Notamacropus eugenii: one gene and its partner. The protein of the gene in region 2 interacts with the protein of the main gene of each other region in a biochemical or structural test. Links are inferred from orthologs where the notes say so. Each region holds a gene or a part of one and is shown on either strand. Other genes may lie near its edges. The genes, in order: PAX5 and transducin-like enhancer protein 4.

Region 1 (16,347 bases), on a different chromosome or scaffold from region 2:
ACTTGGGTGGGCTGCATTTTTAAAATTTGGTTTTGAAGATAGATGTCACCTGATAACATTAACTGTTATGTTTCTCTACATAATTCTCTGGTGACCTCAGTACGAAGTAGGGGTTAGGGTTAGGAGACTAAAGTGATTTCCTGGGTGACGGAGAGGAGAGGAGATGCCACCTAGACAGTATTATTTCCTTTGCAGATCCTTTCTTCTTGCATCCCAGATTTGTGACTTTGCAGGACCATCCCAGCAATCTATGCCCACCTTAGGGAAATGTCCTTCAAGCTGCTACTGCAGTCTCTGTCTGCGCCCGGCAGAGGGAGTTTCCAATCTAATATTCAGTGCACAGATCAGTCTAGCAGGTTTTTTACCAGAGGTGGGGGAAGGGGTAGCCCTTCTTCTCCCCCTCTGTTAGATGTTTAGATTTGCCCCAGATACATTGGTGCAGTGCCATCTTCACAGGGATTGGACTTTGATCTGAGGGATTTTACCACTAGCTCTCCCTAGGATTTGGAAAGAGGTGCTGGGGAATACTGCCTAGGACTCTGCAGGATGGTGACACTTTGAGTCAGATGCTTTAATTCTCCACCTTTTACCTTCCCTCCTCTTTTCTGCCCCATTTTTTTGCCATGAACTTTCTCCAGGAAGCAAGAGGGATGAATTCTGACTATAAGAGGAAGAGAGAGAGAAACATGAGTTCTTATTGTAAGCCTAGCTATTCCCTACCTTGGCATTGCAGCCTTAGAAGATTCCTTAATTTAACCAGGCCCTTTATTGAAATGGTACCCTTCAATAACCGCGTTTCATCCATAATTGTATTACTGTTACTTATAACAGTGGTAGCAGGTGTAGCATTATTTCATGACTCTTACCTAGGCTTGTGCAACATGAACAAAGCCTAGGTCTCCTATGCTTTTTACTGGAGTCTACTCCTATGGAAAGGGAAACACTATGAAGAAGTCTGATCCTGACTGAAATATGTCATCCCATACAGAATCTTAGACTTTCCCATAATGCAGGTGTGTCTTACTTCAATAGATGTCTGGCCTGGTTTAGTCTGTAAATCAATTTATGTGAATTGAATCTTAAGTACCAAAAGAACTCGTGGTTGAAAGGAATCTTGTGTTGAAAATTTTTTTTAAATCCATCACCTTCATAGCTCCTTTACTTATTCTGCCCACACTCTAAATCTCTCAATCGCGATCTATTTATACTCCAATTGATATAGTGGAAAATGAATTAAACTTTCCTCCCATGCCTGGAATTCTCTCCCTATTATCTCTGCCTCTTCTCTTTCCTGGCTCCCTTCAAATTCCAGCTAAAATGCCACCATCTTTCCCAACATTCATTGTTGCTAGTGACTTTGCCATGTTGATTATCTCCTATTTATCCTGCATACATCTTCTTCTGTATAGTTGATTATATGTTGCCTCCCTATTCAACATCCTTCAGAACAGGAATGGGTTTTGGGGTGGTTTTTGTCCATTTGAATTTTTTTGGTTTTGTTTTTATTTTGCCTCTCTTTGTATCCCTAGGACTTAGCCCAGTGCTTGGCACATAGTAGATCCTTAATAAGTTCTTGAGTGACTAGAAAAACCTGGCTTCCAGACTTCTCACTGACTGTGTGGACTTGAGTAAGACATTTAAACTTTGGGGAACTCATTCACACTCATCTTTAAAACAAGAATAATAGTACTTACATTCACTGATTTCACAAAATTGTTGTGATAAACAAATGAGATCAGGTATGTGGGAGGCTGAGGCCAAAATAAATGTAAACCTGTAAAAAATATAGGAGGCATCACATTGCCATAGAACTGTTCTCCAACTGAAAAGTGTCCCTAAGTAGACTTGCAGGTTTCTTGAACACTTGGATCATTAATTCTCATTCATTTTCCACACTGTGCTCTTTACAGTAACACTTAGTATGTCTTTGGAGCTTAATAAATACTGGAATCACCAATTTATCTACTTTGTACATCCTAATTTTCATCAAATGGGGCACATCTAAATGGCTTCGTGCATAGAGTGATGGAGTCAGAAAAATCTGAATTCAAATCCTACCCCAGGCATTTATTTAGCTGTATGACCTTGGACAAGTCACTTAACTTCCTTCAACCTCAGTTTCCTCTTCTGTCAAATAGGTATAAAAATAGCACCAACTTCAAAGGGTTATTATGAAAGTAGGACAAGAGATTTTATTTCTTCTGGCTTTTGCTGAAAGTCTGTGGTTCCTAAACTCAGAATCACCCAATGTGCATTCCACCCCATCCCCTCTAAAAAAGAAGCAAAGTTCTAGAGTTCCTTAGGTATCTGCAAATCTTAGGTACTGCAAAAAAAAAAAAAACGCTAGCTATTGTTGTTATTATTATTTTTAAATCAAGATTGCTCTCATCCTGTTTATTGTCAGACATCTTTGAAGATTTATTTAAGGAACTTTGTGCCAACTTCTTGAAAGATAAGATATTCTTAGGATACTTAACTAAGGTCATTGGTGTGAAGAACTGTGCAAACTATAAAATAGCTGCACAAGCGAGAGGGATTATTGTTCCTTAAGGAAAGATTTCCTCTCAGTATTGATCTTCTCTTCCTCCTCAGTTCAGTTTGGAGATCCCTCTGTTGCTGGGGGAAGGTGTCGGTGTTCAGCAGTGGTGATGAAAAGGGATGCTTGTTGTGAATATTTCCTTAATAATCTTAGTCTAGCTCAAAAGGATTGGAAGCAGAGGCTAGAGATAGAATGCCAGAACCAGTCTTTCCCTCTCCTACTGCCGCCATGAGCCAACTACTACATTAATACTTTGGTTGAATTTTTTTACTATTATTTTTAAAGGTTTAGTTGAATCTTTCTTCTTCCCCTCCCACTCCTCCCCCACCTCCCCAAACATTCTATTCCAGACGTAAACTAGTTGACGTGACTTCTGCTTTGAGTTTATATTTTTCCCCTACCTGTACATCCTATGTGCCAGAAATACCAAACACTGGAACTCAACTTTGACTCTCAGATTCCTCAAGAGAAACATAAGAATTATAACAACATCTGCCTTTCAGGGCAGTTGTAAGGATCAAATGATAATAAAGCGCTTAGCGTAGTGTCTGGCACACAGTAAAGTCTATTCTATTCCCTTCCCTTCCCCAGTCTACCACTGATCCAGGGTGATGTGTCTGTTTTTAAGCACGGAAAGTTCAGGGGACTTCTCCTGCTTTCCCCACCCCACTCCCCAGCCCCTACACACAATCTTTTCTGCCAAGTATTCCCACCGTACACACCTGCTATAGGGTATCACCGCCCTCACCCAATCTGAGTAACAAGGCAAGAAAACTTCGAACTCAAAAAAAGGATTCGTTGAAAATACTTTTCCAGTGTCTCCTGAGAAAACGAAAGTAGGGCAAGGGATTCTATTTCTTTGGACCTTTGCTGAAAGTCTATGGTCCCTAAACTCGGAGAGCTGAATATATGTCCCACCGCAAGCCCTCCGAAAAAGAAACAGTTTTAGGGTTTCTTAGGTGTCTATGTCAAGTTTGTTTTAAGTTTGTGAAGAACAGAGATTGTTTGGATTCTTCAATACCCACCCCCCCAAAAAAGTTTCCATATCTTTGTGCTTGGAAGAGTTCCTTGTTCCTTGACTTGCATGCTTTAAACGTGGTATGTCTCTGTCTCTGTGTCTCTCTGTGTCTGTCTGTCTGTCTGTCTCTCTCATCACCGTGTACCTCTCTCTCTGTCTCTGCTTCTGTCTCTGTCTCCGTTGTTTCTATGTCCCTCTCTCTGTCTCTTTATCTTCCGATCTCTGTGTCTCTCTCTGTCTCTGTCCATCGTCTGCTCATATTCAGTCCCAATTCGTCCACTGGATCTTTTCATTTTTGCCGGGGGTGGAGGTTGGGGAGGTGGGGCAGAGTAAAAGAATCCAAGCGTCGAACCAAATATTCCAGTTTGGACTGAAGGAGAATGGGTGACAAATTTTGGACTCGTCTAGTCTACCTGCTTTTCTTCTTTCATCAAACTACCACCACCAAAAGTTGTCTGGAAAAAAAGCTTAAAAACCGCTAACTTCTCCAAGCAGAAATTCTATTGTACTCTGAGTTGGTTTGTTTCTTCGTGTGTGTGTGTGTGTGTGTGTGTGTTTTCTTTAAAAAAAAAAATGTGGGAAGACGTGTGCTATTATTTACCATCTTTCTCAGAACTCAGACCTAAAGCAGAAGCCGGAGATGCACGTGGTAACCTCCAATTTACCAACCCCCTCCTATCTTCCTTATCCTCTTTTTCCCTCTATCCACCCCCACGTCCCCAGGCTGCCGAACTCCGGGACTAAAAAGTGATAGCTAATCATTGGGTTCCTGGGAAATTATTGGATCAGAGTGTGTGCTCTGTGTTTGCTAAAGAACAATGAGCCTCAGAGATCTGCTTTAGCGATTATTTGGAACGCTCCGCAGTTTGCTATATTCACAATAGTGGTTGAGGTCCAGCTTTGGGTGAAATGGCAACAACTGGTCTGTTCTTCCCCTTAAAACTATATAGGATAAATAATGCAGGGAGCATTATAGGACTCCGTGGTCACTCTCTAGCCTCCGTCCTCCTTTTACTCCCTAGAAACGATATAGGGTCTAGGAGTCCTGATGAGTGATTATGTAAACCCACCCAGGATGGGAGAAGCTGAGAGTGGAAGTGTGGTCCCCACGTGTGTCCGACCAGAGAGTGTTTGACAGCGAGATTTGATCTGAAAGTAAACAATTCTATAGATTATTTCACGGGTCACAGAGAGGAAAAGCACCTCCCTTAACAGACTGCTTAGATTCAGTGACCTGTCAGGCACCAGGAGACCAGGGTGTCCATCAGTACCACGTTACCCCTGAGCGAGACTCAAAAGAGACTAAGCTAAGCCTCCCCTCCCCTTTCCTCTCCCCAAACTGTCTCCCTCTACTTCGTCCTTTTCTTCCTTCTGGCTGATTCCCCTTGCCAGAGAGAGTTAGGAAATTGCTAACTCTAATTCATCTCAATGCATTCTCTAATTCTTTTGCCTCTTTCTCATGCCACCCCTCCAAACAAAGAGAATTTGAAAGCCTACAAAATTTTAGGCATTTCTGGGATATATATTATTGGTCAAAGTGATCATTTTTCTGGTTTTAAAGGGGGGGGGGATGCTAATTTTTGAGATTATATGGAAGACAAAGGAGGAAGCCCTGACTCCTACTTTGGCCTGGGTTTTTTTTTTAGGTGGAAAAATGTTTCACACAAGAAGACTTGATTCCACCAGTGAAAGGTGTGACACCAATACAAATCCTAACATGCCAACCCAACCTCACATTATCCCAGCTGAAGTCCCTCATTGATAGTTCTCCCAACTTAACTCACCCTGTGGATGCTAAGGACAAATGCTCTGCCCAATCACTAAATCAGGGGAAGGTTGAAAAGAATTGTGTACTTGATGGCAAGGAATGCCCCAAAAGGACAGAAAAGAGAAAGAAGTAGAGGCCTTGAGAAAGATTAGGGACAGAGGTAAAGCATTAGTATTGACTTGTTTTTTGTGATTCTGGATCTAAGAGACCAGTAAAAGGAAGGAGCTCTGTGGCAGCCCTTAACCATTTCTCTATATTTGACCTAATCCACTTAACACTGACTTCAGCACCTGCAACAGAATTTGCTCCATTGTAAGTGGGTTGAAGCATATAAATACCCCATTCCTAACTCATGACTCAAGCAATTTTGGTTGGGGTGCTAGTGGGAGAGGTTTGACAACTAGGTTTCAGACTAGAAGCATTATTTATTAACTAAGTGAAAATGGCTCCAAGAAAAACTCCAACTTTCATTCCAACCCAAATCCTTAAAATGTGTCATTTTGCTTGAACTAGGAATCTAAACCTCTCAAACTTCCAGTAAGGTCCAACCTATCAAAAGTGAAGTATGAGAACCGTGGAGGGATAGAAGAACAGACAAACTGAGATGGTTACATTTACACACTTTCTAGTTGATGCCTTCTACACCTACTCTCCAATTTTTCCTTCCTCTCCCTTTCAGGTTTGTGGCCTCCTCCCATCACAGGCCACACAATGACCTTACGACCTTTCTCATACAGTTGGACTCAAATCCAGAGGACCCTCCATTCTTCAAACCCCCACACCTTTTCCCTTTTCTTCCTGCCCCAACAACTCTGACCTAGAAGGGGTCAAGTCTCAACCAGCATTTTGCTTCTTTCTCGTTTCCTCCCCTATTCTCAAACAACTTTCTTTCCACTTATTCACATAGGGTCCAGTTTAGTATCCATCCTTACAGGTTGCCTTTATCAACTAGAGGCTCAGGAATGGTGAAAGCTGGGGAATACAAAGCAACACCCATCCATCCCCAACTAAACATACACACTTAAGAAAGGGATGACAAGGTGGGGTGGGGACAGGGGGCAATGAGCTGGGAAGGTCAGGCTGGGGTTTATCACTGGAAATGTCTGCCTGAGCAGCCCAGAAACAGGAAGTAGAGGGGGGAGGGAAGGAGAGACTGGGAGACAGGAATGGAAGAAAGAGCGTTATGGGCTTCTGAAACAGGTCCAAGTGAGCTCAAAGTTGCCCTCCTTTCCCTTCTGGCACCCCCTCCCTTCCTTCTTCCTCGACCAGCCCCATTCCGGTGCCTGCAGCAAAGAGGAATGAAATGCTTATCGATTAAACGATTATTCAGGCGATTTAACTAATAAAAGAGCTCATCGATCTCCTCGAAATCACATTATTTATAGACAGCTTGTCAGTACAAGAGTGCGCCAACAGACACAGATGCCAGGCACTCCAGTGGCTCTATCTGCCGCCCCAACTCCTCCACCAGGATCCACCACTATGAACGCCTGCCCTGCTTCCTATACCCTTTTGCACAGTTAAAAATACATGCCCACTCTCCTCGTGCCCCACACTCCTTCAGGGTCCCTGGCCTTGCTTTTTCCCTTCTGAATCTGGAATCCTAAAAGCTGAAGTCTTTTTTCTTAGCCACAGAACTGCAGTTTGGGTTTGGGAGTAACTGAGAAAGCGATGCCAGGGTAAAGGACGTTGGGAGGTGACTGGGGTGGGAGGTGAGGGTGGGATGCTAGGAACTATTGGGATAAGAAGGGGCCGACGATAGGGACAGTCCTCAATCTGCAGCGAATCTACCTTTCTCTTCTCTCTCGGTCCCCCTCCTCCCTGCCCCTCCCTCGGCCTGTCCTCCCCTCTCCACCTTAGAGCATATACAGCAGGCTGCAAAAGTGACTTTTGTAGTTACTGTACGTCTCGCACGAAATCTTAGACCTGAAATTTTTCCTGTTCTGAAAACGTGTGGAATCATACAGAGACAAGACTAGAGATGCTGCCTTTTCTCCTCTCCTCTCCTCTCCTCTCCTTTCCTTTCCTCTCCTCTCCTTTCTTCTTTTCATCTCTTCTTCCTCTTCCTCCTCTTCCTTCTCTTCTCCCCACCTCTTCCTCTCTGATCCCTCCTTTCTCCTCTTGGATCAGAGGATCCAGAATCATAAAAGCTAGTGTTTTCTCTTAAAAGTTTTCAGGGATTCTCACCAACACCACTCTCCCTCCCTTCCTCTCCCTTCTTCTTCTTCTTCTTCTTCTTCTTCTTCTTCTTCTTCTTCTTCTTCTTCTTCTTCTTCTTCTTCTTCTTCTTCTTCTTCTTCTTCTTCTCTCTCTTGTGTCTCCTTCCCTCCCTACATCTCTTCCCCTCCCCCTCTTCCTCCACCCCTCAACCCCCCCTCCCCATTCTAGTCCTCATCTCCATTACTGTTGCCAAGCGTGCTGCTGAGGCTGATCTCTTATCCTCAAGGCTCCAGTGTTGCACAGAGACCCAAATCGATAGTTGATACCTTTTCTCTCCTCACTTCCTCAGGAAAACCCAATTCAACTTCTGCCCACAGTGAGCTCACGAGTGTCTGGCAGTCACAGTTTGAGTAGAGGAGTCTGCCTAGCCTTGAAGGAACCCCCAGGCCCTGTATGTTGACTTTCCCTTTGAAAATAGTTGCTCTAGCTAATCTCTTGGAGATCCAAAAGATACATCCCAGGCAAAGAGTGATCAATTCAATCCAAATATCTTGGTAAAATGAAAGCACCTGGCTTTTTGAGTCAACATTTGGTTATTCCTAGGAGCTACCATCCCTCAAAAACAGATGAATAAAAACTCCACCAAAGCCATCTCTATCATTTAGCTGAAGTTAGAATTTAGCCCTCTCCTTAACTTTTAGATTCTAGTTATGTAAGTTTGCCTATACACATTATGTTCTAGGATTATTCACATATTTAATCTATAAAATACGTACAGACAATATAAACACTCACATACACACATTTTAATAAACAGAATACAGATACACTATATTATTTCATGAGCATAAGATGAATATACATAATAAAAATCAATACATCTATTTTTACATGCATGCATCTATATCCTATAGGTTTTCATGCATAGACATGTCTTCATTAAATAGACATATCTATATTAAAATATCACAAAACACAAGATATGTATGTATATTTTTAGTATGAATACATCTACACACTATATGTATATACACATGTATACGTATATTTCTTGTCTTTCTATGTATCATATATCATAAATATAATATAGATATATTGCACCTGAACACAAAAAGTCTACATATATTCACATATCTAAATATACATTCAAAAACAACTATAAATCGAGAGATCTGTCAGGATATTTAATGAATATTATGCATGTATAGTAAAACCTGTTTCATAATTATGTATTATAACTCCCTGTAAAAAAGAAACTCAGTCCTACCTGTTCTACCGGTCCTGGAAGTCGGGTAGTTTTTCTCTAATTCCATTCTGATTTTTCAGGACTTGGTGGAATGGACAGGGAAAAAAAGTTTCCACTTTTTTTAGGGTTTTTTTTTTTTTTGTAAGGGGCTGCTTGCAGGTCGGAATAATTCAACTCTTCCGCTCCCCGTCGAGCTTTTGCAGCTGATCACTGAGCTGAAACTAAACGTTTTAGGTGGAAAAAAAAGCCTCCGAAGGAACCGTGAAATGATTAAGGAACTAAAGAGCTTCTCGCCATGTGAGATCATGTCCTGTTCTCTAAAACATCACAAGATGTCCCCAGACGCATCCAAAACCCAAGAAACTCTGACATCGTTTCTAGCAAGAATCAAAGTTTGTTTGCAACCAACTGCCTGAAAGTATGACTTTAGATGTTTACAGAGCACTGTTTGGGAAGCCAAAGAAAGATGACTTTACTATATTGAAAAACAAACAATCCCACCACCACCACCACACATCTAAAGAGCTTTTATAGATTGGGGGTGGAGGGAGACCGTTGCAAAGCGTGGGTGGGGGGTTAGGAGAGGGAAGGATTAATAAACTTTTCAACATAACCGACTCCTACAATCAACAGAAAAGGCGAGCTGAGAGAAACATAGCTGAGCATCATTTTCATCCAGTAGGCTGTTCTGTGGAATGTTATTTCCTACTTCTTCACAATGTGTGTGTGTGTGCGTGTGTGTGTGTGTGTGTGTGTCTGTGTGTCTGTGTGGGTGCGTGTGTGTGTGTGTGTGTGTGTCTGTGTGTAAAGTTAATGGAATCGAAGGAGGTCGAATAGAGGGTTTTAACCTTCCTGGGACTCTATGTCTTTTTATTATCCCATGATGCCATGCATCGTTGTTTAAAACGAGAGAGGTTTTTACTGCAACTCAGTTGTGGTCCAATTTCTTACCTTAGCGAGACAACAGTTTTTCAAAAACGATCGTGAATGAGTAGAAAGCATATAACCTGCTGCGGTGAGCATTTTTTAAAAATAAAATAATATAAATGACTTTTCAAAGAGGAAAAGTAAAAGATATTAAAAATGGAGCTGAGGATTTATATTACCCTAAATTAATTTTAAAAACAAACAAACAAGCAAAAAGTGTGCAGCCCCTTTGTGAATAGCTCCTTAGGACCCACATAATGCTACTGCATAAATCGAAAAGCTCCCTCCTCTCCCCCCAAAATTGCATAGTGTAGATAAAATAAAAATCTCCCTTCCCCCAGAAAAATGTTCATGGTGCCCTCTCTATCTGATCCTCCCCACTTTATTTTATTAAGACCCCTTCATGGGTGGTTTTGGGAATATAAAAGCCAAATTATTATATTCAAATTAATACTATTTTATGTAGTTCCTTATTACTAGATCTTGATCGTATTTATTTGTACCTATATATGCATATGAATGAATATGCATATATATGTACATATTAATAGGTAACCTACACAAATTTTACAATGGACTAAGGCTTGCTTTAAGAGAAAAATCAAATATCAACTTCAAAGCAATTGTTTAAAAATATCTTCCTTTAATTCTTTTAGTAAATCTCATTAATTTTGAAATATTCTTGCCTGTCTAAAATGTGCTTGTTCTTCAAGTCAAATAAACTGTCCTTGCCTTGCCATTACAGTTGAACTTGGTATCAAAACAGTTTCTTAATCTAGACCCTTCTTTTTCCTGAGTTCAAAATAGGTTGCTGCTTCACTGAATACAGTCTGAGAAAAGTGAAAACTCTCTTCCTCTAGCAAATTTAGTGCATAAAAATAAGTAAAAGCTGGTGTTGATTCAACAGCAAATGATACATTTATGTATAATGTTTCCCCTCTTATACAGAGCAAAGGGATGTCTTAGAACAGTGACCTAAACTAAATACCTGTCCTTAGAATTGACATAAAAAGAGACCTAAAAATGAGCAATAAATATGCTATCCTTTTACTACACTCTTCAAACACCAAAGTTTCAATGTGATATGGCTGAAAACAATGATAAAAATGCACCTGCATGAAAAGCTGTGTTACTTCTGAATTCATCTTAATAAAATGACCTAATTTTTTTTTTTATCATTTCAGCCTAAGTATTTACTGTGACCATTCTCCCAAACAAGGAAGCTTTTATTTCTCTCCCTACCCCTTCTTTCTCTGTGACATGTGAAATATGCTTCCAACACAAAAAGCTTGTTTTGGTAGCAAAATATGTTTTGCCAAGGAATTTTTTGTAGTGTGTGAATTTTTTTAAAAAAATTAAATAAAAATTATACAAATTGTGCATCTTGGAGATTAGGATCCATACCAGGCAGAAACGTTTTCTCTCTGTTCATTTTGACCCCAAATATGGTTCAACAAGCCACCCTTTGCAGTTCTTGACCCTCTCCTCTATATAAATATATCCATTTAAGTGGAAACTACCTCCCAACATGGATTGTGCAAATGAAGGAAAAGTCTGGAAAAAAAAATCCCTTCACTCTTCATAACAGTCATTTCTGTGGTAAGAGTGCTCAGAATTAATTAATGTTCAAAAAGTAACCTGACCAATCTCCGTAGGGTATAAATTTAGGAGAAAAGGGAGGAAACGCTGCTTATTTTAATTGCAGGTGAAACAATACTATGACGTGTGATTTTAAATGTTTTTTTAAATAACCATGTCAAGTAACATTTATATACTTTAGTAATAATTTTCATACTTTATGGAATTTAAACAATTGTAAAAATGGTTTGTTTATAATGAGAACCTCACTAGGCTACCTGGTAGTATTTGGCTGAGAATTTTTTTTGGTTTGGTTTGGTTTCTCACTTCCTTCCCTCTACTAAAACCTTTTTCTTTCTTTCTTTATATATTAATGCAAAATGTAAAAACGTTTTACTCTCTCTCAGTAATCTTAAGACGAGGGCCCTTCTTCATCCTCGATTCAATTCTACCAAAGAGTTTCCTTCCCTTAGAACGCGGTGGTATAGAAAAGAAACCTTGCAAAATGCAAACTTTCCATTTTGCCCAGTTCTCAGAGATAGATTTCGGAGAATCCCTACTTAGCCCTGAGCAGAATGGGAGGTGGGGAAGATGGGAGAAATTATCATTTAGAAGGAGTAAAAGCCTTTTTTAAAAAATTACATTTCAACATGTCGTTTTCAATTTTTTTTTTTGTTACTTTATCAGGTTGTATGATTGCTGTCCTTTTGTGGGAGGGAGGGTCCTTTTTTGTTGTTTCTGTTTTGGGTAAGGGCATCTACTTTGGTGCAGCTGTGGTTAACAACCTGCATCTAGCTTCATCATCATCCCGGAAGTGTTCAGGAGAGGGACTCACTGCTACCAATGGCTAAAATCAGAAATATTGGATTTGTAACAAGAAAAGATAATGGATTTCCGAATAATGCAGTGAGGAATCGTTTACTCTTGGTTGGTAGAAGGGTACCCTCCTCCTTTGATGCTTACAAGAGCTTATGTGAGCAGTGTGAATACGACCTAAATTACGACTTCCCTTAGAGGCATAAATTAGTGCAGCACTGCAGCGATATATTTCTTGCTCTTTTCCCGCTAACAGTAGTGGACGTGTCCTTTCGCCCACGATTCCTCCCCTGTTCCAGGATAGCTAGCTTGCACGAATTTCAGGCTTGCCGTTTATCTGTGCCTTTTCCCACAACGCAAAAGTATGTATAATATTGAAACCCCGAGTCTGGGATATACGAACCAAATAGTGCCTTGCGTTCTTATTGCAAATTTATCTTTGTTCAGTTGCCTATTTCTCTGATTGAGGAGGGGGCAACCCACAACCGTCTCACTGGTTGTTTTCACAGTTATCTCTTCTCCATCCCGTGTAGACTACGAATGTGTTCATTGAAATTAAGTATTTGTTTGACTGGCAGAAGCAGGAAGGGGTGGAGTGGCACACTGACAAGTGCGGGGGGGGGCGGGCGGGAGGGGTTGTTCAGCTAGTGAAAAAGAAACAAAATAAAAGCCGTAGTCTGAGCGACACCAGGGTTTGACCGTGTATATTTGGGGGATTGGTAGTGTGTTTTTTCCCCTAGAGAAGTGGAAAATGTGTTGAATATATTTTTTCAGGTATGAATTCTCCTAAAAATCCGATCCTTCATTTTCCGCTGAAGTTTAATTCCCTTTAAATCCCACTCATCCACCCTAAGTGAGAGACAGAATAAAAACATTTCTCTTTGGAATATGTTTCTTTTAAAAATAAATTCATTGGTGTATGTGTATATGTATGCATTTTATATTTCCGGTTTCTTAATCTCAACTTGACTGGAGTATTAAGTCAGTTGGATTCGAACAACTTAAAACATAGTCGGTCCGAATTAAAAACGCTACCGCAGTCTCCAGCACCTACTCCCAAAGCCCTTTTTCCGTTCCGTTTCTTTGCATCCCAGACCACCAATATTCTCCGTCGCAGCAAGGGCCTGGTTTGGATTGCTGCTGACTCTAAAAACCTCTCTTTAGCTTTAATGCCTTTGAGTCTGGGAAAGAAAACTGTTGACATTTCAGAAAAGCTGTGGCCTCCTCCCCCTCTTCTCCCTTCCCTTGCCCTCCCACTAATAAAATTCCTAAAAGTGAGAAACAGAAGTCTAGGCGAACTTATATACGCATTTAAGCAGACAGCTGCAAACCAACTTGCGGTATTCTGGTCATCTTCTGCCTTTGGACTTGAAGCCTAGCAGAATTCAGCACAACTTCTTGCAATCCAGGGCGTAATGGCCACTGTCTTCCCAGAGAGGTGGTAAATCAGCTCCCTCTCGTCCTCCCCCCTCTTCCCAATCCTTCTCCCTCCTTACACACAGCCAGCAGCAGACACGCGCACTTTGGGATCTGGACACTGCTTCTTGTCAATTGCCTGGTAGCCCAAAGTGGACCCGTGCGAGTGCCCAGCAGGAGGAAAAGCTGTACGAAAGAAAGCGGAGGGTCTGGGCTCGCTGGGGAGCCAGGAGGAGCCGGACGTGTGGCAAGGGTCCCTGGGGCTGCCCACCCCCTCCCGCACTCCCTCCCTCCCTCTCTCCCCCCTGCCGCGGCAACGTGTGCTCTAAGGGGCACACCAAGGCTTTGCAGGCACATTGAGGCAGTAGCAAGGACAGGTGGGGGAAGAGAAGAGGGGGGCCAGAGGTGGAGGCCGGGAAAGGGGACCTCCCAGTTTAAAAGCTTCAACAGAAGGGAAAGAAAAGCTCCTCGGTGAGGTTCATTCAGTTCTACAGTGCCCCCGGAACAAAAGGAAATCAAAAGCAGGAAAGGAAGGAATGCAGACATCTTCAGAAATGCTTCTAGCCGGGCTCGGATCACTGCGGAGGAGGGTCGCCGCACTTTGAAGTTTCAGCCGGAAGAAAAAAAAGGGGAACCCTCTCCTTCTTGTCCTCTCCCCCCCCCTTTCCTCCCATACACAGAACCCTCCCTCCTGCACCTCTAGCTGCGAGGACAGTCACGCCCCCAAACGCACTGGTTTGCTCGGCTGTCCTCTTGGCCTCAAGGTAACCCCGGTCTCCAGACCTGAGCTGGAGTCCTGCCGAGGACTTGGCCTAATGAACAAGCAGAGGATTCCCGTTTCGCCTCTTTTCGTAGTTTCCCAGTTCCACTAGTCCCTGCCGCCGCCGCTTTGGCAGCCAGAAAGTTGAAACCAAGGACAGGAGCTGTCCGAGGCCTGCGCTGACCGAGGTGCAACTGCAATAGCTACCTTCTGGGTCAGTTTTGCTACCAGTGCAACCTTGAGCACATTTCATCGCTCTTAGGATCTCAGGGTTCTCCTATGTAAAATAAGGGGGTTGGACTAAACGATCCCTAAGGTCCCTTCCCTAGCCTGTGATTCTGTGAACTGCTGGCCCTGCGGATCCTAACATTGAAAATGGCTTTTCCTTCTAACGAGTGAAGGAACCTTGCAGGGTTCGCCTTCCACTCACTTCCCTTCTTCCCCACCCCCATCCACCTCAAACACACACACACACACACACACGCACACACAAAAGAGCATATTTGCTAGCTAAACTGTCTATTTGAGAGAAGAGGCCTGGGGTGGGGAATGGCACGGGGGGCCTAGATGAAGAAACTGGGAGGAGGAGGTGAGAGTGTAGGAATGGAGGTGATAATGACCTTCCTCACTACCCCAATCTCTCTACCTCCCGTCCCACCCCCAGATTCCTGAGCCAGGCAGGTAGAATGGAAGGTGCCTCGGCAATGAGTAGCATCTTCTTACGGAAAATCGCTTTGTGAGGGCCTCTTCCTCCCCATTGAAGAGGACTGTGATAACTTCTCTGACAGAGGGCCCCGAAGCAAGACATGGTCCTGATATAGGGCATGAAGCCTTAGATCTCTTAACATGTCAGCCCAGCAAGCGCTAGGCAGTTGGGGTCTGGAGCTATTAACAGCGGCCTTCAGCCTTCTTGGCCCAGGCCCAGGTTTTGCCACCAAAATTACCCCAGCCAGGATGAGGGAGAGTGGTCTAATTCGTCGGAGAGCTGCAGTAGGCCAGGGGAAAGCCAATATCCAGTGGTCACTTATCCATACCTACCCAGATCCCAAGACGTAGCCTCAGAAGAGGGCGGGATTCGGAACCTAAGCCCAGGGTTAAGAGAGCTTCTGTACTCAAGAGTCAGGGACAGATTGGCTTCCCAGCTTTGACCGCCAGTTTTATGCCTGGGCTGAGTCCTTTCTCCTCGGCACAGAGGCCTGGGAATAGCGAGTTTAGCAGGTTGAGTTGGAAGGGCTACTTTCGGAGAGCTGATTCAAAGTCATAGCCACTTTGCCCGAAATAATCGCACGCTGCCGGGGGCCAATTTACCAGTGATTTAGCTCTGCCAATCAATCAATCAATCGGCCAATCGTAAAACCTACCCCCCGCATCTCCCTGGCTGACTCTGCTAAGCTTGATGTGACCTTGCGCTCCAGGAAGGCACAGTCCCTAATCAACACTTTCGAATAGAGAGGATTCCCTAGGCCGGGGAGGTATAGCACTGTATGAAAATGAACATTTTGTCATTTTTCTCCAAATCACATTTACGGGCCTCTAATAGAAACCAAAGAACTCGTACCCGTGGCAAGTCGAAAGGGAGTGACGCTTAAACGCAGTGTCCCAGCTAATAATACATGCCAAAGACATGCCTACATCTTTTATTCTAAGTGTTTTAAATGACTGAAAGCAAAGACTTCTAAAAATCGCAGCACGTGCTTGTAACTCATTGGGGAGAAATGTTAAAAGTAAGATGAAAACATCCACAATATTGCATTATGGCGACCCGTATGACAAAACCTAGTTTTCCTTATTTCTTTGGAGGGCTATAACAAGATATTGTAGAGAAAAGGTTCAAGTGACCAAAAATCTGGTTTGTTTGAACTGATTAATTTCAATTCAAATCCAGTAAGTAGTTGCTAACCTTTGATTCTGACTTACATTTATAGATGGAGAAGCTATGTTTTCATATAAGGGCAGGAATAGACCTATTTGTGTGCCTCTCCTTGGTGTTTTTATAGAGCATGTATCTCTGTGAAGTTAAATGTTTAATCTTCAATTCTGAAAAAAAAAAGTACTCTTGATGATATTTAAAATTTTCTAAAAGCTATGATAATTTATGAGAAAACAATTATTTTTAAAA
Region 2 (16,678 bases):
CTGTTTGACCAGCACCTAAATCTTTTTTCTTAGAGCAGCAAATGCTGAAATGATCACTACTTAAGTGGCTAACTTAATGGAATATTGTATTTTATCGTTAATTCTTTCCTGACTTGTGATGTTTGTACATATTTAGTTTTAATAATTAGTAAAATTCTACTTATTCAGTAGTCTCACAGATACTCAAGTTTAATTAAAAATAGTTTGATGCTGCTTTGATTATGAATTCTCTTAGGCATAATATAAATAATTCAAAAATATATGGGACTAAAATAATTTATTCACCAAAATTTAAAATCTAATGCCACCAACATCTATGAAGTGCCCTCTATGAGTAAGGAACTAACTAGTCCAGGGGTACAAACCCGCCCCCCCCCCCCCCAAAAAAAAAACCCAGCTCCTGCCTTCAAGGAGCTTACAAACATAAACAATTTATCTGCCTCTCTGTTCTAGGAAACTGTTGTAGGGATAACAGAAACAGTGCGATTGGCAGAGATCCTGCCGTAACAACTGGTGAGGCCGTTTTGTTTATGTGTAGCATCATTCCCCCTGGGAACCTAAGGCGGCTTTTTGAATTTGACTAATTTTCACAACATCTCTGGGAGAGGAAAACCCATTCATTCTCCATCTCTCCCTCCTGTGTTCCCAAACTGGGGCACTTTTTATAATGCATCCAGACAGAATTTAAAGAGAAATTATGGTCTGGAGGAGGGAAGCTGTGCTAGAAATAATATTATAATCATCAATACTGATATTTATCAAGAATATAAACAAAGCAGACTTTTTTCCCCTCTTGCAGGCATTAGAGACTTGTTTGTATGCTTTTTTTGAAAGGAAATGTTTTATCTTTAATCTGCTGGTGGACTTTAATCATCCCTTAGAACTGTCAAAGAACATAATAATTTGGAAAGTAAGAAAAAGGCCATTTGGAAATGGTGGGAAATTGTCATTTATTGAAGAAATACTTAACTTGAAAATTTAAAATAAAGAAGTGTTGAACATTTATATGTGCTGCATTTTGAAATGAATTAGTAACATCTAAATTCCAATTCAGGAATCCCTGTTCTTTAACAACTTGCTTTTAAAAACAGTAAACATGTGAATCATATTTGTTCACAACAATATCAAAATCCATTTTTCTAGCTCACGTACTGACTACTGAACTTTCTCATGATCATAGTGAATTAATTTATATGGTTACTACTTAGATTTTTTTTTTTTACTGTTCTTTAAAGAAAGTCTAACTTGAGGAATAGAGGACATTTCATACATGCTCTTACCATTTCAAGTCACCAAAAGACGAATCAGAATATGAGTCAATCAGTATCAGATTGCCAAATTCTCTCACTGAGGAAACCTCTAAGTTTTAATAATACTATAGTAGGCTCTCAATAGTATTTGCTGAACTGAATAGCTATTAATCTAGGAAGTTTAGCTTTCCTAAGTTTATTACAGGTTGGTTTTAAATTTGGATGAACAGTGTTAGATTTACCATGAGGCCTTCTTCACTATTTCAGAAGTTGCTACTTCTATGCTTCTATCACTAGACTAAGAGTTCTTCTATTTTCTTTAAAAAAAATGCTTTTGCATAATGCATTAATTCCTGCATAATAGTATAGCATAGGATCTAATTAAAAATCCTTATTTACCTGATCAAGTTACACCTTTCACATAAAATGTATTTAATGATGAAGGGGAGGCTAGGTGGTGCAGTAGATAGACCACCAGTGCAGGAGTCAGGAGGACCTGAGTTCAAATCTCACCTCAGACACTTGACACTCACTAGCTGTGTGACCTTAGGCAAGTCACATAACCCCAATTGCCTCATATTGGGTCATCTCCAGTCATCCTGATGAATATAGATGGTCACTGGATTCAGATGATTCTGGAGGAGAAGTGAGGCTGGTGACCTGCACAGCCCTCCCTCACTCAGAAAAACAAAGTCAAGTGCAAGTCATGTCATCATTTCTCTGATGGCATGGTCTTCTTCAGCAAGGAAGGATGAAGCACGCATTTAATGATGACTGTAAGTCTTTCCTCACTGACTTTAAAAGCCTATCAAAATAAAAGCGGTCAAAATTGTTTTGTTTATTTTAAGCTAAGGTTGAAAAAAATTATTCCTAATGAACGAAAATCTCTCAGAATTTTCTACTTGTTTTGATGGAAATTTGGCAAGTACTACAATTATTGACTAATAAGATTGAATCCATTTTAGTGTTTTCTAAAATTAGTAGTGTCCTGGACAAGATATTACATGATGGCTCATTCACAATGACTTAAAAGAATTTCTAAGAAGAGAAGTTGTGTGATAGACCCGACTTGTTCTAGGAAAGACTATATAATATTATAGACAAGTCCTGATATGAAATATAGTTGTGAGAGTTATACACAGGTATTAATATTATAGGTCCTTAAAATTTGAGTCACACTTAATGACACTCAGAGGACCAGGCAAGGTCAGTGGAAACAAAAATCTGCTTAGTACTCTGAGGTATTCTTAAACTTCACACATTTTTATAACGCACCAAATAGTATAGGATTTAGCTCCATGCTTCCCCTCACCTCAATGTATAGTATTAAGTACTTAAGTATTTAGGTCTGTTTCCCAAGGTAATTGGGAAAAAGAAAAAGAACCTATATGTTCTAAAATATTTATAGCAGATCTCTTTGTGGAGGCAAAGAACAGGAAATTGAGGGGAAGCCCATGAAGGGCAGAATGGCTGAAGAAGCTGTAGTATACGATTGTGATGGAATACCACTGTGCTGTAAGAAATGATGAGTTTGATCAAAAAAAACCAAGGAAAGACTTGAATGAAATAATGAACAGGACCAAGAAAATGTTGTATACAGTACACTAATATTTTTCAGAGTAACTGAATGGCTAAACTATTCTGAGACATATGAAAATTCAAATTAGCTACAAAGGACTTATGAAGGAAAATGCTACCCACTTTCAGAGAAGGGACTGATATATGGAAGTATGTATTGTATGCTTCTAAAAATATATATCTATATCAAATGTTGACCTTCTCTAATGAAAACTTGGAAGGGAAGGAGGGAACTCCAAACATAACAACAACAAAGTGCTTAAGTTTTAAGTATTATGTACCTATTAAGCCCATAGGAGCATGGTTTTAGAATTGGAAGGGACCTTAGGGACCATGCTTCTTCATTTTACAGAGGGTTAACTGGGATCCAGTATGGTTCTTCAGCGATTAGCCCAAGGTGTAACATATATATTAAATGGTTGAGTCAGAATTGGAAATGAGGTCCTGACTCCAAATCCAGCCGTCTTTCCACCTTGCTGCTCTCACCCTCTAATTTTCAAAAATAAATACAAATTTCTCCTGTCTAATTTCTGTCTGGGCTGAGGTTGTTACAGAAGCAGAAACCTATTTGAAGGCTTGGCAAGAGCAATTGAAGAAACAACTCTGTTAGTAAAAAGTGTAGTAGTTTAAGCTCTAGGTGTATTTCTTCAGCTGCTCTTACCAAGTCTTAAGAGCCTCCAAGGAGGAGTATGTATGGGGAGGGGGGGGAGGGGAAGTAGTGGTGGAAAAGAAAGTGGGGAGGAAAAGGGAGACTTGTGCATTGGGAACTAAGTGCAAGGGGTCCTAGAGGTCATTCTTTCTGCAGTCAGTCACAATTTATTAACATAATTCCTTCTACCTTCCCCCTCCTAAATAAATAAATATTAAATATTTTTAAGTAAATATGATTGAAACCACACATTTTTATTGGTCAATACCAATTTTAAGAGTATAGAAAACATGAGCTCTGCACAAAGGACCAGGAAACACAGAATTTCTTTTCTACCTCACTACTTAACAGTTGTGAGATTGGGCAAATCACTTAATCACCAGGAGCCCCGGCTGCTTCATCGGTGACCCTTTATGAGAATATCAGCAAGGGAGATTAAAGTTTTCACAGTTAACTTCAGAGGTAATATCACAGGTATTATTATCCCCATTTTACTGAAGAGTAAACTGAAACTCAGATAGGTAAAACGGCATGTTGCCCATGGTCATAGAACTAAATAAGTGAAATGGTCTTTGAACTCAGATTTCTCCTAACTACAGACTTCCATTCTGTTTATTGCATCCCTTGTGCCTAGACTAGAAAATATTTTTAGGTCCCTTCTGCCTCTAGACTCTTTGAAAGTCAAATAATCTAGGAGTAATTAAAGAAAATAGTTTCGGGGTAGGTGCTGCCATTTCTCAAGTAAATAATACATTGCCCATTGTTCTTTTTACAGTTCTGTTAAGATTATAAGAATCTTTTTTTTTTTGCAATGAGGATGAGATAGCAATCACATGAATAAATAACAATAGTTAGCATTTATAAACTTTGCAAAGTACTTTATACATATTATCTCATTTTATCCTCACAAGATACTTGTCAGGTAGGTTCACAGATTATCTATGAAGCATTAAAGTTTGCCATGACTAAAGAGCTCATGTTGATTTTGTACAGTAATTTATTAAATTTTTATAATCAGTATAGCATATACGAAATTTGGCAGATTGTAATGTTTAGGTGATTGCAAATCAATGACTGAGCCAGAATTATGCCCTCAAATCAATTGATTCTTTAGTTCAATGATGATTTTTCTAGACTAAAACCTTTTTCTCTTACTTGTAGTACTTATATGATAATCACTACATTTCTGTTCAGGGTGTAGTATTCTGGACTGGGGATGTTTCATAGTACCTTTATATTTGACTTTTTCTTTCTCTTAGATATTACAAGCTGTAATGCTTTGTTTCACATCTTAAAGATGAAACATGCCTGAGGACCTGGGTTTTTTCCTGGGGAAAAAAAATCCACATTTTGCTCCCTCTCTTCCAACTCTCCTGTTGACACACAACTGTCAGGAGGTATTATGAGAAAGTTTCCTATTACAAGCTATTTGATATTTCCTCACAGAGCAAAGGACACTCTCTGCTCATTGACCCTCAGTATCTCTTCAGGTTCTGATATTAGAAGTCTCATCAAGTTTCCTGTGCTGGGGGAAGTGAAACTGCTACACAGAATTTCAGTAAATATGGTCCAGTTGATTCAGAGGCTTTCTATGATAGTGCAAGCAACATATCACCCTATTTGCACAAACTTCAGAGAATACTTATGTATCCTACAAAGGCAAGTATAAATTATTTCAGAAAATACACAAGTAAGAAAGGCAAAGACCACAATTTGGAGACAGTCTGGGTTCTGACCCGTACTGAGTGAATTTAAGCAAATCATTTAATCTCACTAGTATAGTTACTGGTAAAATGGGGAAAACAAAACATGACCTAACGGGGACTTGCTTGTGGTGAGAATCACATGAAAATATTGTATGTAAAGTGCCTTAAGAGTCATGAATGATTTTGAAAGTACAGCATACATTTCTGTCATGATGTCAGACATTATTACCAAAAGTCACTTAATTATTTTTCTTAGTTTTGGGAGAGGGTTCAGGATACGGCTAGGAAGGTACCCCTCTCCTCTTTTCGGGGTGGTTGTGGTGCTCTCTAGTATGAGAGCTAGGCACAGTCTCCAAGGAATCTAACAACAACCATTCGTTGTCATTGTTTCCCTTTATCATCATCATCATCATCATCAATCATCATGGTGAGCTATTTAAGAGAAGGGACTGGCTCTACACACTTCTGCGTCATTGCCTTCGCTCTTCTTTATAGGAGGTGCCCTATGTACCATGGAAAAATGGGAGGTTGACTGCTTCAAGCAGGGCATGGTTTTCAAGACTCCTCACCATCCAACATTCTTGTCTTCAAGTGACATTTGCTAACATGAACAACCATGGTCCAAGGTGCCGCAGGAAGCTTCCACTCTAAAATCGGGACCGGCTGGAGAGCTCAGGAATGGCAAGTCCATCTTTCCATCAACCAAGCTTGGGTCTACTGGCTTAGCAAGGCAGCCCTGCACTCGAGCCCCAGGCTCTCCCCAAAGCCCGGGGCCAGGCTGCTTCTTCCAGCGGTCTCGAGATCTCCTTTCCTCCTCTCTGGGAGTGAGCGTCTCTTGGGAGGCTGGCGCTAATGGGGGCGGAATGAAGGGAGGGCAGGCTCCCTGGAGCTTGGCACCCCTCATCACCTATGCGGAGCATCCTGCTGCTGCTTGGTGACACGCAAAGAGGAGGAACCGGGCGTTGGAGGCGCCACCTCGCCCCGGAGGGCATGCAACAGCCCGGCCGTCCTTCGTTTTCCCTACAGGGAGCCCCGAGAGCTCGCGGTCTCTCCGGAGCTAAAATGGGCGAGAGGTACGCACCCCTAGAGAACTCTCTCCACCCCCTTGCCCACCTCCACCCCACTCCGAACCCCAGCCTTTGCTTTATTAGACCGTCGGAGTCAAACTTGCTGGGCTGCATTTCTTGTTCAACAAAGGGGCTGGTGCGGGGGGAAAGAGGGTGCTTCCCCCACCCCCATAAAGTGTAGAAACCGGGAGGAGTGGAAGCTGGAAATAAAGTTTCTTTGGGGATCCCGAGCCTCCTCTCCCAGTCCTGGAAGCCCATGGATAGCTCACTATTTCTCGGACCCAGGCCTGGGATGAAGTTGGCTTATCGGGTGGAGTGTGGGGGGGAAGCCTTCTTTGGGTACGCTTCTCCCCTTTTTCCCTCTCTGGGAGGGAGAAGCCAAGTCAGAGCTCTAGGGTTAAACAGCAATCACATCCGTCTTACACTCTTTAAGAGGAGGCGCCTTCTCCCCCCTCTCCCCCCGCGGTGCCAACCCTTTACAACCCCCCCACCCCCCAAGTCACTGGGCGGTGCTTTTTGTCTCCAAACAAGGGCAGGGGGGACTCAGTCCCGTTCACACGGAAAATTATGCCGGCTCCAGCGGTGCGTAAAATTGATGTGAACTGAAAGAAGAGGGATCAGCGTGATCCTCCCTCTCTTGTCTCAACAGGGGTTTCGGCACGTTACACAAGGCCGAGCTTGTCTCTTTAAGGAGACATTGGACCCTAATTAGTCCGCATTCCTGGCGCGGCTAATGCGGCCGCCGTGGAGGGCAGCGTCGTGTGCATGTTTGGGTTGGGAGTTGGGGGTTTGGGGGGGAGGACGAGGATAAGAAGTTGAGTGCGTTTGACCACCACCGAGCCTCCTTCCTTCCCTCTCTATCCACCCCACCCCTTGCCACCATCACCCAGTTCTGAAGATGCAGCAGCAGCACCAGCAACAGCAGCAGCAGCGGAGGCAGCAGCTCCACCAAACCCCACGTTACTTTGATTGACAGCTGAACAAATGTTTCCCCTGTTCGAACGCTCGCGCTAAGGAACGTCAGCAACCGCGAAGCTCCACCTCGGGCGGGCCGCCTCTGCCCCGCCCCCGCTCACCTCATCCCACACTGTTGATTGGCTCGAGCCGCGGGCGACGCCCGGCCCCCACGTGGGAACTAGCCTGTCCGGCTCCTCCCCACTGGCTCCCCATTTGTCAGAAATGAAATGATGGGCAGTAACACAGAACGGCGATTAATGTTCAGCGGTCTCTGATTGGTTGTCTGTGTCGCCCGCTGCGCTGGGAGTAGGCGGGGCGTTGGTGGGGGACCCAGGAGTCGTCGTTTGGCCTGGCGGTGATTGTAGTCTGTCTCGGTCAATCCTGTAACTTAGAGTAGGGAAAGAGTCACCAGGATCGGACTACATCTCCCGGGATGCTCCGCGCCGCCTTCTTCTATGATTGTGAATATGTATCAGAATGTTAATGATTTGCTGCTGCTAAATTTGGTCAAAGAAGTCACCTAGACAGAGTGTGTTGTTAGAGCTGTTCCGAGCGGTTGTTTAGGCTGCTTGCTGCTTTCTTCCCCTTCTCTCACACACTTGTATGTTGTTTTGTGGTGGTGTTCGAGGAGTTTGAAAGGAGAGAGAAATAAAGCCGCAAAGCATTTCTTTTCTTTTCTTTTTTTTTTAACACCCCTCTTCTTTAAAAAAAATTTTTTTTGAGGGGTGAAAAACAAGAAAAAACAGGAAGGAAGAAAAACCAGGAAATGAGATGAGGTAAAAGAAGCTAAAAGGTGCATGTTAAGAGATCGTTGCTGTGAACCGAATAATCTCCAGAGAATCACTGAAAGCAAGGACCGCTTCCGAATCAAAGGAGTTTGCATTTTTTTTAATGCAAGAAGAGAGGCATTGCATACGGAGGAATAATAACCAATTAAAAGACAAATAAAAGTTTGGAGTGGGGTAGCGAGAGAGACTGTGCGGGTACACGGGGTGTTTCGCGGTTTTCACCATCACCACCACATTTGGAGGGCAGTGACTGGTGCGATCGGAGGGATATTACCCGCCAAAGGAACGTTCCAGGGGCTCCCGGGCAGCCGCTCCTTCGTAAGGACCGGCCCCTCCGGAACGTGGGGACAGCAGCCTCCGAACGTTGCCGGGGGAGACGTTCCACCCTCTACAATGACCGCCGGCCAGTGACAAGCCCCCCGTGGAATGTTGGAGCGGTTCCGTTCTGCCGGGGACAGAGACGCCGCCGCCGCCGCCGCCGAGGGTTCCTCCTCTTGTGTCACGCGAGACCCGGGGGCGGGGAGGGGGGCGCAGGGACCGCCGCCGCCGCCGCCGCCGGAGAGACGCTCCTCCGAGAGCCAGCCAGCCCCGCCGCCCGGCCGCCGGGTGCCTTCTCCTCCTCCTTGTTGCCATTAAAACAAATGAACCGAGCCGCTCTGCCCAGCGCCGCCAACTAAATCGGTTTGGATGATTCGCGATCTGAGCAAGATGTACCCGCAAACCAGACACCCGGTGAGTGGAAGCAAAGCCCGGCCGGCGGGGAGGGGGCGCGGGGAGACTTCCAGGCTGGGATCCCCCCACCGCGCTCCCCACCTTTTCAGTTTAACTACGAAGGTTTGAAAAAAAAGGAGGGGGGGAATGCAAACAAATAAATCCGTGCCCCTACTCCAGTCAGCCCCTTTGCTGCTCCTGGATGTTGGCAAGGAGGGGAAAGGACTGGGGAGCGGGGGGGGGGGGGGGGGGTGTCGTTTCGAGAAAGCAATTGAGTTGTAGCCATTTTCTTATTGTTGTCTTCGGGAAACCCTGAAAACCCGGGGGTAACCATTTGCGATCTCGGCTCCTTCAGTTTTTCCAGAGATGGAAAGGGGGGGGGGGCGCGAAGAGGGACCAGGAGACGGGGGAGCTCTCTCCATCCCTGGGCTGATGGGGGTCCAGCGTGTGCGTGCGTGTGCGTGTGTGTGTGTGTGTGTGTGTGTGTGTGTGTGTGTGTGAGAGAGAGAGAGAGAGAGAGAGAGAGAGAGAGAGAGAGAGAGAAGAGCGCGGAGAGAGCAGAGCGAGCGTGCGTGTATGCTGGGAGGGGGTGATGCCTCCCCCTCCTCTCTCACTTGTCCCTGGAGAATGAAACGTGTCGTTTTCAGCTCCTTCTCCTCCCCCCACCCCCTCATGCCAATTTCACAATGTATCCAAAGTGTCCCTGACTTAGACCGTGGCTGTTTGTCAGTTTCGATTCCGGGCCGGGGGGAGTGCTTGTGTTCCAGACGTTGCCCCTTCTTACCCTTAATGAGAAAAGAGCTTTCGAACCTTGATGTTCGTGAGAAAGGCGTGGATGGGAAAAAAACCGGTGTGTGTTTGCGTGTGTCCATGTCTGCGGGGAATGAGGGGGATGCCTAGCTAAGGGGAAGAGACTTTTCTCTGTATTTGGTTAAAAGACGAAAAGTGGGAGGGGGGGAGTAAGGGAGAGACAGTTTTAATAGCTCTTTGCCTTAATGTGCTGTGACCCCCCCTCCCCCTTTTAGCCCTGCTTGGCATGTTTTCCCAATCTTCGCTCGCCTGTGATGTGGGATAATTAAATAATTTTATTGTTGTTCTTTAGGCACCGCATCAGCCTGCTCAACCCTTTAAATTTACAATTTCCGAGTCCTGCGATAGGATTAAGGAAGAGTTTCAGTTTTTACAGGCTCAGTATCACAGGTAATGATGTTTACTTTCCTTGATCCTCCTGTTTGCTTAGCTCTTGTCAGTTGCCCCCCCATCACCCTAGCGCCCCCTCTTTTTCATTTTGATTAGGTTGAATGTAAAGATTTGGGGTGACTTTTTTTTCTGTTTATAGACAGTAATAGCACCCTTCTGGGCAGGTGCAAAAGAAAGTGTGAGTCTTTCTCCCCAACATAAATAGAAAAGGGGGCAGAAACGCTTTGAGACTGTAGGAGCTTTGGAAGATGGTGGCAAACTTTCAGTAATAATTTATTGGGGCAGAAAGAAAGCAAGGGATAAGGAGATTCAGGGGCCTTTTAGCTTCCTTATTTGTTGCTTGGGATTTTCCTCCTCTTCTTTTTTCTTCTACCTGACCGTCTCACTTTTCTGTTCTCAACATATCAAGGGGGAGAATCTTGGCTTCCAGCACAGCTATCTCATTTCATTTTTGCTGAAAGATGTTTTATTCTCAGAGTGATCATTGACTGAAAGTTGACATTTTAAAATCGTTTTGCCATAATTTTCATTTATGTATGTTTCTTTTTACATGATTTAAAAAAAATAAACCCCAACTTGGACAGGATCAACAATTTGCCCCCCAGGGGTGATGGTATTCAACTTGTCTCTATTTTTGGAGGGAAAGAGAGACATCATTAAGCTACATGTGATTCATATTTTCATTCATTTCTTTGTGGACCATTAAGGAAAACTCAAGTGTGATGTTTTGTGGGACTGAGCTTTTATCATTTGTGACCATATATTAATCTCATTGATTTTTTTTTAAATGAATACACATTTCTGGATGAGATTCAAGAATGAAATAGAGATTCCTTATCTTCCACCTTAAACTTTAAATAACACTTTCTGTTCAAAAGGAGAAATGAGACCACCTCCTTTATATTTTTTTTGGTGTTGGTATTTTAATTGTCGATTTGAAATTTATGGATACTGATCTTGAGAGGTAATGAGCATACTTGGATTAGAAGAGAAGTGTTATGGAGTACTCACGCTTCATTATGTCTTGAACAGTTTGAAACTGGAATGTGAAAAACTGGCCAGTGAGAAGACCGAGATGCAGCGGCATTATGTCATGGTAAGAAAACTGAATAACACGTTCAAAATGTCTATTAGTCTGATATACCAAAAGCAGGAATTCATTCAGGTAGCTTCAGGCTACAAAAGAAATCACTACTGTGTTGCCACTGTATTTGGAATTGTGGCATAATTTCCATCAGAAACCTGTAATTCCAGGATGTTAGAACTTGCTTCGGAAAACCGGTTTTGATTTGAAATTTTCCTCCAAGTTGAACAGCATGCTGTGTCATTTTCTCTGTACTTTGTTTTTTAAGAATTTTGGAAAACAGCAACACAACCTCTGCATTTCTGCTTTGCTTATAAGTCATGATCAAAATATTGGTGTTTTGGTGGCTTGCCTTGTTGTGTTTTACTATAATTGCAAATGATTGTTAACTAACGATTTTTTTGTATATGGTTTAGTTTTTAGTGCTTTCTTTTTTTAAAGAGTGAGGAATTAAAGAAAGATAAAGATCATCTTTTTAAATTAAAAAATAAAATTCCATTTCACCTATGTGTTGAATAAAAGAGACTTTTTAAATTTCCCAAGGTTTATTGCATCAAGATTCCCAAAGTACCAGTTATCATCTGGGTTTAAAAATCACAGTTTCCTTCCAAGACATATAATCATGAATGTTTGTATGATGGCTTCTAAAGCAGCTGAAGGATTACATTGTGGGCTTGCATCTAAGGCAATTTCCCTTTGAATTTGTGGTTATAAACACACTGCTTAAAAAATGAGAAAGTTAACCCCAGAGATTATTTCTAAGTAACACTGCCTTTATGACCAAATTCTGTCAAAGCACAAAGATTAATTCAAGATGTATTTTTCCCATTTACATGTTGGTCTTGCCTAAGAATTAACGTACACTTGTTACTGAGTTCACACACCAGGATTTTTCTTCTCATGAGAAATACTGAGAGGGAGCAGAACATGTTAAAGATGCTCAGATTTTGAACTCTGAATTGTCTTAACATTTTCACTGGGAGTATCTTTCATCCCTTTTCACCCCCTCCCCCTTCCCCTATAATTCAAAATCACTTTTTGTATTTGATTAAGTCAAAATTAGTAGATAGATAGCCGAATTTATCATGGAGTTTATGGGAATGGGTAATATGGGTTGTGGGTTTTTTGAGGTTCTTGTCAGGGAGATGAGGAATTTCAAACAGAAAATAGAAATATTGCCTGATAGTTGGCATGAATTTAATTGATTTTCCTTCCTTGACAGTACTATGAAATGTCCTACGGGTTGAATATAGAAATGCACAAGCAGGTAAGCCTTGGTTGGTTTCCTTTAATGATAAAATCATTTCAGTAATATATCATGCTTTTTAAAAACGTAATTCTCTAGTCTTTCTTTATCCTTTTGTATATTTGCATGGCCCGATTCTCAAAATGATTTATGGTATGTAGAGTGCTACGGTTTTTCTTTGTATTTTCCCTTTTTTTGTTGTCTGTTATCATCATTTTAAATCATAGGTGAAAATGATTTGAACACTTTTCACAAGCCTACATATTATCATTTTCTTTTTTGAAAGATGTGTGTTATATCGTGGATTTAAATAAACTAGAATCTCTGCCATAAGGAATATATCTTTTCTTAAAAAGATTAAAAAGTAAAATTGTATGGAAAGGTAAAAGGTTAGCTGCAAAGAATCAAAATGGACTCTGTAGCCCTACCAAATAAATTGTTGTAAAAATCCTCAAACTGGTCCCTTGAGGCTACTTAGTTGGGTCTTACCAGGAAACTGTCCGTTACTTTCAAAATTTGTGAGAAGTAAATGAGCTTGATAGCAGGATATGATGAGGTTCATCACTGTGCCTTGAAGTCCAGCAATTAGTTCAAGCCAAAGAAAAATAGTGATTAGTAGGAAAGGTGAGTAGTGTGACTCACTGAGCAGTGTGTGGGTTTTAACCTTTTTTTTGCCGGACGATAAAATAAGTGCTTTGATTTGGGTTTCCTAGAGAGAAAAACAGCACTTATTAAAAAAAAAAATGAATTGTTTGGCAATAATAATTTATTTTATGGAGTAGTGTGGTTTTTTTTAAATGCCCTTTTAATAATGTTGCTTGATATCTCACCAACCAGTAATGGAATAGGTGTGTGTCTTCACCTCCCTGTGTACAGAGGCTAGGAAAGTAGTTTAATGTGCTCTTCCTTATTCATATTAAAGATGTCTCTCATTACTTTTTGAGTTTGGAGAAGATGATTTGCCCAGTATTGTTCATCTTTTGCCATATGATGGACCTCTCCTTTGGTATGGTTTTTAGCACCACCAAGGGTACATTTGATTACCTTAAACTTGTGAATTAGAGAGTAAAAGACAGCAAATCAATTGTATCTGAAAACATGAAAACTGGCCAAACACTTGCAAAGCTCCAAAGTCATCTCTTATTTCAAGGGCTGAGAAAATTGGAGTTTGTAATTCGGAATACTTTATTTCATTAGTTCCATGGCTATGTTGAATGTAGCACTGACAGTGTATTGAGGATAGCATTCAGATTAGTTAGAATATCATTTTGGTATTACTGCCATTTCTGTTTAAATTAGGAGCCTAAATACTGCCTGCTTACAGAGAACTCATTCAAGCTTACGGTCTTCCATTCATTCCGCTTTACTTGAACAAAGTACAGCTGAGATGTTTGTATCATTACTGTTCAATTTCATCTTAGGTCTGTATCTTGTACATGTCTTTTTGCTATATGAAGATTAATTAGTGTCTTTTAAAGATTGAACTTAGTGACTAATGTCCTTCTATGTTTTCCTCCCTCTTTTTCTCCCTCCTTCCTATGTCTCCATAACCTTCTAGGCTTAGATTTCTTTATGCTGTGTAAGTGCTGGACAGATAGACACTCCATGTTCTGCCAGAAGTATAGTCTTTTATGATGTCTTCTAATTACATTTTATACTTACACCTTTAATTGTGCAGTCTTCTTGTTTGTAAGTCCTCAAACGCTGTCCATTTTAAATTGAGAGCAGAGTGTATTTCCCCCCCTTTTTTTTCCTCTTGCTTTCTAAATTCAATCACATCAAGAATCCTGAGGGCAGTTTATCACATTATGAAATACAGACAGGCCTGCAAACCACCTACTTATTATATTTTCTTTCTTTTTCCCCTTAAGCACAGAGGCATATCTGTCTTTATTTGTTTTCCTAGGCAGACAGCCTTGGTTCCTCTTAGCTTCTTTTCCAGATGTACTCGCTGGATGCCCTTGTAATGGAAAGCAGGCAATAATGCAGTGAAGTTGCCCTGCGGCATAATTGGGCCTAGTTCTCGAGATCAGGTTAGGCTTATTCACTTATTAGATTTGCGTCTCAGAGGGTTCAAGAGTAGGAGTCCCTGGAGTCCTTGGAAGTACCCTAGTAATTGGTGGCCCTGATATTTGAAACCTTTGTGTATTTTTCGGTTAAAGCTCCTGTTCTTCTTGGCTGCTTCCAACTACACAGTATTTATTTTTAGAGAAATTTTTCATTGGAACAGAAAATGATGGCTGTGATGGAGGCATGACTCTGTGACTTAGCAAATTGATAAAAGGATAAATGCATGGAGCAGAAACGATGTGGGGGTCGATATTGTCTTCTCCCCCCTCCCCCCTCACTTGGTGCTCATCATCAGTCATCCTGTGTTGATTTTGATAGAAGACTATTAAAGTAAAACCTATGGGGAATTTGTCATTCTGAAATGAAAGCTTAATGTAATTAGTACCAATTAAAGTACATTTAGTAAATTGGATTTAATCTTAATTAAGCCTGCATAATGTTGCCAATTTTTAACAATTATGTTTGAGAACATAATTAATTTAAATTTTGGTAACTGAGTAAATAGCATTAGATTGGTAGAATGAGTTGATTTTTTTTTTTAAAGGGGAACTGAGGGTACACAGTAACGTGACATCGAATTAAAGCACAAGATATGAATCTAATTTTTGGTAATCTCTACTAGGATCAATAGAACTGAGCAGATGAAACTAGAAGAAACAAAAGTTAAGGAGGAACATTATAGGCTATAATATGAGTCTATACTTCCTTATATCTCATATTCTAGTATGAAAGTGAGGATGACAAAAGGAATGCATTTAAAGAACATTTTATTGAGATGTGTCTGCGTCATGAATTTCTGAAAAAATGAGAGACTATCAGAGAATAATTCTCTCGCTGTGCATCTCAACTGGTTTGTTGTGTAGAAAGACAGTTGATAGTGTTTAGTAGATGTTACTTGTGTTGCCAGTTAATACCTTAATAAAAACAGTGTCGCTTTTTATCTTAACATGGGTCACTCATTGTTGCAGAATTGGGCTATGCTTGAGTTTGAGATCATCTTAGGATGATCTTAGCACATACTGCTCTTTTATGTATGATGCTATAAGTAAGAGAGACCCTTTGGGTTTAAATAGACATTTGTACTTAGTATTGAAGGTTGAATATTGGAATTTGATTAGCTAGTAGGCATTTCTGAAATAAGAGCTACAGGAATTTGAAATGTGGTAGTGATGGAAGTATTACATTTTGGCCGAAAGAGAATAAGAAATCGTCTATCTAGCTTCTTGCTAGTTAACGTTCCCTAGTCAAAAGCACCCCTTGTTTCCAAAAATTAGTCTTATTTGATTTTGATAAATCTTGATTTTGTAGAAGCAACAATATGAGAATCTAAATGAAGTAAATATACACATACAAATGTTTTTTAAAAATCAAAGCAAGAAAAACTTTCGCTCCAAGCCATGTAAATTTTATTACAAGACTTGGGCAACAACCATTTGAGTGCTGTTAAAATATTAATTGAATAGAAATGAAAGGGCTCTGCCAGCTGATAGGATCTCATAATCATAGCTGCAGCAGTCGATGGTAAATGATGATAAATGGCATTAGGAACCTTTTAGCAAACTGTAATAACTACAAGGAGGGAAGCAGTATGGATTTGCATTATATCTGATACCCTCTAGTACCAAGTGGATTGCCAATACTGCTTGTTTAGCATTTTCTAAGGGCAATAGGATATTGATTTCTGACTTACAAGGAACAGCTCTATTTTCACCATTGAAAAGTATTTCAGGTTGTTAAGAAGAAATTGACTTGAAGAGGCCTGACTGCTGCCCATCATGGAGCAAATAAAGCAGAACTGCCGAAGCATGGTAGAGCAGCAAGATGGGCCCTCAGCAATTTGTTGCTATTAATTTACCGTGCTCGACAGCAAATCAATCGGCATCTACTGCATCTGCTGGAGAAAATGCTGTCCGGGGCAGATAAAAGGCCCTGCACAGCCCAGAGAATGGACTGGATTGGCCAAAAGGAGGCTGCAGCTAATGTGTAAATAAGTGAAATCAAGGCCACTGTTGCAGAGGAAGCTGTTTTTAATTAGGTTGGGGCTTTTTACTGAGCTATTTTAGAAGCAGCTCAGGATTTTGAGAGTAAGGAGAGATTTATTGAGGCTGAAGAAACATACAATTGGCATGACATGTCATTCAGCCTTGAGCGTGGTTGATTCTTGTGTCATCATCAGTTTATTTGGGGAAATATAGTGAAGGTAGAAATCATGGTAGTTTAGGTAGAAACTAAAATGCTTTGTTTACGGTTCCGTTTTGACCCTTTTAGCTTTTTTTAAAAAATTTCTCAGAAGTACCTGACTTCTTGAAGGTGAATTATCCATTTCATTGAATGCCTTATAGTTAGGAGGCATCCAAGGGAGAGAGAGAGAA

Evidence for each region.
Region 1: the proteins of transducin-like enhancer protein 4 (region 2) and PAX5 form a complex in vitro, tested with the Homo sapiens proteins (2 studies listed by BioGRID). The link is inferred for Notamacropus eugenii from reciprocal best matches to the Homo sapiens genes TLE4 and PAX5.

What each region holds. Positions count from the first base shown.
Region 1 is NC_092874.1:317,651,534-317,667,880, reverse strand, and holds the start of PAX5 (paired box protein Pax-5), read right to left. Parts: upstream 8,941-16,347; 5' UTR 8,799-8,940; coding exon 8,753-8,798; intron 1-8,752. UniProt on the Homo sapiens protein: Transcription factor that plays an essential role in commitment of lymphoid progenitors to the B-lymphocyte lineage. Fulfills a dual role by repressing B-lineage inappropriate genes and simultaneously activating B-lineage-specific genes.
Region 2 is NC_092872.1:69,729,080-69,745,757, forward strand, and holds the start of transducin-like enhancer protein 4, read left to right. Parts: upstream 1-8,589; 5' UTR 8,590-8,682; coding exon 8,683-8,727; intron 8,728-9,808; coding exon 9,809-9,906; intron 9,907-10,938; coding exon 10,939-11,002; intron 11,003-12,212; coding exon 12,213-12,257; intron 12,258-16,678. UniProt on the Homo sapiens protein: Transcriptional corepressor that binds to a number of transcription factors. Inhibits the transcriptional activation mediated by PAX5, and by CTNNB1 and TCF family members in Wnt signaling.